2 linked regions of the Schizosaccharomyces pombe genome follow. The gene in region 1 interacts genetically with each later gene. Each region holds a gene or a part of one and is shown in the gene's direction. Other genes may lie near its edges.

The links. A genetic interaction does not mean that the proteins touch.
Region 2: mutations in sol1 (region 1) and bud32 together harm fitness more than expected from each alone (negative genetic interaction), as found in Schizosaccharomyces pombe (one large-scale study listed by BioGRID).

What each region holds. Positions count from the first base shown.
Region 1 is NC_003423.3:1,310,185-1,313,944, reverse strand, and holds the start of sol1 (SWI/SNF complex subunit Sol1), read left to right. Parts: upstream 1-2,142; 5' UTR 2,143-2,220; coding exon 2,221-3,760. Other genes in the region: karyopherin/importin beta family nuclear export signal receptor Kap109, read right to left, coding at 1-607, 657-714.
Region 2 is NC_003424.3:1,619,788-1,622,918, reverse strand, and holds bud32 (serine/threonine protein kinase), read left to right. Parts: upstream 1-1,626; 5' UTR 1,627-1,656; coding exon 1,657-2,262; exon of another isoform or gene 2,263-2,310; coding exon 2,311-2,421; 3' UTR 2,422-2,551; downstream 2,552-3,131. Other genes in the region: protein meu32, read left to right, coding at 52-673, 724-1,280; vas2 (AP-1 adaptor complex sigma subunit Aps1), read left to right, coding at 2,788-2,950, 3,004-3,131.

The sequences.
Region 1 (3,760 bases):
TCCGGAATGTCTTGGCAATTCAAATCATAAAAAAGTTTACACTCCAAAAGGATAACCTGAAATAAACTGTTAAGAGACTCTGCATCTTGTGGACCGTTACGCAATAAGTTGTTGGTTTGCACGAAGAGAGCGAGAAATGGTTCGCAAAAACGATCCAACACATATTTGATCTCCAAAAAAAGTGCATCGCTACGGAATAAAGGTCTCCAGCGCTTAAAAATCGCATGTGCAGTAGAAAGTACAGCAATATTCGTGTTCATGTCAACAGCAGACAATTTAGATATCAGATCGGGGAGAAGAGTGTCCCACCGATCAGGGAAATCAAAGTTGGCAATATAACCAATTACTTCACCTAGCTGAACTTGAATAATGGTAGTACTTTTCAGCATCAAGTTGATTATTTCGCGTTTGATCAATTCTGCCACCTCATCGCTGATACGAATAGAAGCACCTTCCTCAGAATCCCAATGTTTTTTAATGTAATTTTTGAAATACAATGAAGCGGCCAGCTTAATATTGATGTCTACTGTATCCTCAGCGACAATATTGAGGAGTTTTAGTGCAAAAGAACTATCTTGTAATTCCCATACTTTCAGTGCTTCCTCAGCTATATCAGTTAGTAAATTTGCTTTATCCACTCTGTTGGGGTATCTTACCACTTTTGGAAGTCGTAGGGTTTAATGTTCTCGCAAGAAGAGTTGGAATGTCATCCATAGTTTTCCTACAGGGATTGTGGTTAAGGGCAGATTTTGAAGGACACCGACGTAACTAGAACAATTTCTCTAACATCGTTATAGAGAATTTTTAATTCCGGTTTTATTTATTAAATAATTTTCTCTTAAGTTTGATATAGTTAACATCTTTTAATTAGTTTGTTTGCTTCTTTTTCAGGCTTGTTAATGTAATACTTTTCTTCGCTTAATTTTTGTTTTTTTTTCTATTAAAACACCCTAATATACCAATATTTGTAAATAAATAGTTGGACTATACTTGATAAATTACTTAAAAAAGGAATTAAAACTAATAAAATCTATAATTCATTATCAATAATTCAAGGGTTCACATTTTAATTATCAGCTTGTAAATACCTAATTTCCGAATTACTTGGTTTTAGTTTGCAAGCTCATTAAACATTTTATGAACCGTCAGAATAGAAATCGCTTTATACGTGGACTTGAAAGTTGTGTTAGTTGACTTTTGTTTCAAATCTAATTCTTGTTTATGCCATCAAATTCTACATGTGCAATATAGCATCTCCATCTTTATCTCAAATACTACAAACCTTTTTTTATTGTAGTATTTAGTTTTTTTCCTTCTTGAATCGGATATTCCTTTTGCGAGTTGACTTGAAACCATAGATTTGCAAAAGTAAATAATTAAGTCATAAACATATATATTTTACACGTACAAGCCCTTGTCCATAGAGTTCAACAACCTAAATCCAATTGCTTGATAATAGAAATTACCATATTCTACTATCTTGTTTCATTCATCAATAGGTTTACACATATGAAAGCACGTTTATAGAAAACAATGAAATTTATAAAATGACATTGCGTCGAGTCTTATGTAGCCAGAAAGAAAGAAGGAAAAATAATGAATAAAAAATAAAAAAAAGGTTAGACCAGATAAATTTGAATTAATGTGTCAATTTTGATTGCTCCTTTCAAAAAAAAAAAAAAAAAAAAAAGAAAGAAAAGGAGGATAACGGGATCTCGAATATGTTAACTCATATGCTTTTACTATTTTAAAAAAAAAAAAAATAATTTATTAAAAAAATATCTGTTTCCGCAAGAAGAAGATGTTGTACTCGTGATTGTTTACAGTTTCGCCAAGTCTACTAACAGAGCAAGTTAATAAATATTGTTTCTATTACAAGAGGAATAAGATATTATTTTGTTTTTAAAATTTTAGATACCTGACTAATCGATAAATGCTTCCCAATGCTAACAATTGTCATTGACTTGGAAATAAGAGACACTGCAAAGGCAAGAAATCACGTTTGCGAGATTTAAAGGAATGAGTGTAAAGATTTTTTAGGAATTTAAGCATTTTCTGAAACACACAGATTAGGTTCTTAAAGGCAGCACTAAACAACTCGTTATATGCACTTCGTCTGCTTTTCAAGCACTTTCAGCTGCCAAGCGCCTTAGACGTTAATATATTGAAACGTGTATTTTAAGGTCCCTTTACTCTTTGTTTGATTTAGTATGAGGAATCATGAATAATCAAGGGTTTGTTCCTGCGAGTGATTATCCAACCGCAGTATCATATCCCACGCAAGGTCAAAGTTATAATACTCAGGAAGAACAACCTGCGTATCCTCAACGCTTTTCGACAAGCCAAGGGATGTATGCAGCAGAATATGGAAATGCAAACATGATGAATACTTCCGAGAATGAGCCTAACAATTTGGCTCATTCACAGCCCTTCCGACAATCTCCATCAACTCAACGTAATTTGCCAAATCAATCATTTGATTTCGCCTCTAACGGTGCATGGAATGGCTCTGGATCTGTGAAATACTCTAGTCCCATGATGCCTTCAAGTCGGATCCCGTTTCAACAAGAAAAAGAGGCTGCAATGCAGCAGCAACAACAACAGCAACAGCAGCAACAACTTTATCAACGACAAATGCAAAGCAGAGAGGCCTTACTCTCTCAACAAATTCCTCCTAATCAAATTGGCATCAATGCCCACCCAGCTGTAAGACAAACTCCTCAACCTGCACCTTCCCCAAATACTCCCTCTGGTAATGCTAATCAACTAACGCCTGCTTATGCTGCTAGTTTTGACAAATTCATGGTTAGCCTTATTTCTTTTATGGAAAAGCGGGGGACGCCAATCAAATCTTATCCTCAAATAAATAATACGCCTATTAATTTAATGATGCTGTACGCCTTGGTTATGCGTGCCGGTGGATCTCGACAAGTCTCAGCTCATAATTTTTGGCCAAAAATTTCTGCTTCCTTGGGGTTTCCATCTCCTGATGCTATTTCCCTTCTAATTCAATATTACAATTCCTATCTGCTTCCATATGAAGAAGCATGGCTTGCTGCTCAACAGCAACAAAAATCACTTCAACAAGCAAAAGCTAATCATTCTGCGAATGTTCAAAGCAGACCAAAAAACTATCCACAAAAGCCGGTCCAAACCACCCCAGAAGCTGTACATGCCAATGGTTCTATGCATGGATCACTTCACTCAAAGTCACCCTCCCCAGCATTCACCGCTAATCGTTTCTCTCCAGCTGCTCCTACCACAGTTAGTTCTGAAAGAAATGCTCCACCATACCCTTCTGCTCCGACTCGACCCACTCCGCCCACCGTTCAAACTTCTTCTTCGGCAGCTCCTGTTGATTCTGCCGAACCCGTTGCTTATCAACCGATAAAAAAGCCCATCGATCCTATGTTGGGTTATCCCTTGAATGTCGCGGCCACGTATAGGCTCGATGAATCTTTGCTTCGGCTTCAGATGCCTTCAATCGTAGATCTGGGGACTGTAAACATTCAAGCCTTGTGCATGAGCCTGCAATCTACTTTGGAAAAAGAAATAACGTATGCAATGAACGTTTTACTTATATTAACAAATGATCAAAAATGGATGTTTCCGTTAAGTGAGTGCCAGGATGTAGTTGATGCGTTGATTGACGTTGCAACTCAGTGCCTTGATAATCTGCTATCTGTTCTTCCTAATGAGGATTTAATGGAAATCGCCGATAAACGTCCTTCTTATAGACAACTTCTTTACAATTGTTGCG
Region 2 (3,131 bases), on another chromosome or scaffold:
ATTTCATGCATCCAAAGAAATAAAGCAAACCACCACAAATTACAGATAAAAATGGAAGTTTACTTATCTGAGTTTATCAATTGGAAATTGTATGAATTCAAAAAAATTAACGAGTTAGGGACAAGTACATTTAGATACTATTTTAAGGGAAAGATAGTTAATTTAAAAAATAAGCGTGTCTCATCCAACGAGGTTTGTTATATGTTTAAACTTATGGATGATACTGGAATTGTTGAATTGAACTATAGTTTATCCAAGTATTCGCCAAAATTTGAAATGCTGAGACAGTTACAACTCGGCATTTCAGTTTTCGTCTATAGCGACGTAGTCTGTCGTGTTTCTGGGATAAGAGCTTGGAAACTACAGATTCATTCCAAAAATTTGGAAAGCAAGATTGAAGCTACAATTTCTGAACCAGAGCAAATACCATGTCCTGGGTTTGGTAGCGACAATATTGTTCCGCTGTCACTAGTGAATGACTTTAAAGATGGGGCGTTCGTCAATGTATTAGTTGCAATACAGTGGAAAGAAGAATTCGAGATATTTAATAATGAAACAAAAAAATCTCTACCTAAACAAACGATACACGTACACGATATTTCTGGATCAGCCATGATCGTGTTGATAGGAGAGTCCCAAGTTAAATCCGCTCTCAGTTGGAACAATGAAACAAGTATGTAAAGATTTCTATTCAGGTATGTACCTACTCACCAAAATTTTTAGTTTTGTTGATTCATAATGCAATTGCCTACCGAACCAATACCGGAATGCTGGAATTGTCAATTAAAGATGCAATAATTCAAACACTTCAGTCATTTGATGGTAAAGTTTTGAAACTATTAAATTTTTCAATCAAAAGAAAAGAACTTATTAAGATAAATGCTTATAGATTGAGCACCCTAGAGGCTCTTGAAAAAATAGCCAGCCAATCTGGAGAAGCTTTTGGGCAGGTTGGCGTTTTAATAATGCAAAGTAAAATTAAAGATTTAACAAAAGAAGGGGGATTAGTTTATGGCAATGATTTGACAGGTTTGAGATTTGCAGATTTAATAAGCATAATTGTCGATGAAACTGGAAGTGTTAAAAACCCAAAATTTAGTCAAAAGCTTTTGGAAGAAATTACAAATATAGCTCCTACGGAGTTAAGTGTATTGAATGAAGAACAAGCAATGCATCTAGAAAACGTCTTCCTGTATAGACACTATCGAGTTTGTGTTGGTTTTCTGAACAAACAAATTTACGTGTTTTCAAGTGATGAACCCTTAAAATCATACATTTAATTATTAAATTAAATACTCTTAAGTTATTAACATTAACATTAAATCAGCATATTGATTCTGTAAAACCAGACTTGATTTGATATGCAGCAGACACTAATAAACTGAATTAAAAAAAAAAACGAACATATAAGGCTATGATATTAAATGAAGTGTCAACTTTATGCTGTAATTTTTCTTGGATAACTCAATTAATTTTTGTATTACATTTAAATCGTGGGTAAATAACAGAAATTAATCAATTTAAGTCTAAAAAATATTTATTAGTATTTGACAGTTCTTACGATAATTTTCTAAAGACAGTTTAAATTTGTGACATTTTCGGATCTCTAACGCATATTATCATTCCAAATCCCATCTTCATTTACATAACTCTAAAATGTCAGAAAAACCTGACCTTAGGCAAAGATGTTCTGATATATATCGTGAAATAAAGGAAAAGAAATTAACTGTGGTAAAGCAAGGTGCAGAAGCAATCACGATAAAAACCGAGTTTTATCCAGGTGAGGTTTGTCTTTTGAAGTGCCGACCTGCGAAACGATGGAGACATCCTATTTTAGATCAGAAATTATCAAGAAAACGCTGCTTAGTGGAAGCAAGACTTTTAGCAAAATGTCATTACGTTGGAATAAAATGTCCCATGCTGTACTTTATAGATGCCAATCGTGGTCAAATATATATGGAATGGATTGATGGACCTTGTGTACGAGATTATATTCGAGAGATCTGCGAATGTGAGATTGAAAAAAAACTTATTCCTTTAATGAAGCGAATAGGATCAGAAGTTGCGAAGATGCATAAGAATGATATCGTTCATGGAGATTTGACAACTAGTAATATGATGCTGGAGTCTCACAACAATCCGGTCCCAATTTTTATTGATTTCGGTTTAGGAAGCGTTTCCGAATCTGAGGAAGATAAAGCTGTGGATATTTACGTCCTAGAGAGAGCTTTATCAAGTACTTTACCAGAAAGCGAATCTTTGGTATGTTAACTATTAGACTTAAAGCACTTAAATTCTAACTGTTTGAAGTTTCATCATGTTTTAGACTCTTATGCCCAAAGTTGGAAACAATCTAAGGCAACACTTCGAAGATTTGAAGAAGTACGAATGCGTGGCCGTAAACGTACCATGATAGGATGATGTTCTAAATACTAGTCTCTAGAAAATTTTTTATAAAAAATCTTTCATTTATTGTTTAGTCTTTATGGTATCCTTCATATGGTTTAATTAGTCTATGGACCTTTTGCCGATGCCCTATGTATTTAGTTGCTTTAGAGTTGGCACACGCACTACCTAACTACCGCTATCAACACCAAGCAATAGTGAGCGTTAAGTCAATCTTGGCAGTCAACGTTAGATAACTGTTTTGTTTCTGATTATTTATTACCTTTTTTTTGTAACCTTTATGAGCTTTCGTCCATAGCGGTTACGAATTGAAACATCGTTTACCTTATAGTGTCAATCCCCTTTAAAGCAGCGTATAAGCATTTAATAAGCTTTTATAAGATGTCTATAAAGTTCTTTCTACTCGTAAGCCGCCAGGGAAAGGTGCGTTTAGCTAAATGGTTCAATACTTTGTCAATCAAGGAGAGAGCCAAAATAATCCGTGATGTTTCTTCACTGGTGATTACACGAAAACCAAAAATGTGCAATTTTGTTGAATATAAAGGTAAAAAAATTGGTATTTTTATTCAAAATATGAATTAACTGTATTTGTCTTAGGCGAAAAAATTGTTTACCGACGATATGCTTCCTTGTTTTTTGTTTGTGGAATTGAACAGGATGATAATGAGTTAATTATATTAGAAGTCATCCATAAGTTTGTTGAATGCTTAGACAAATACTTTGGT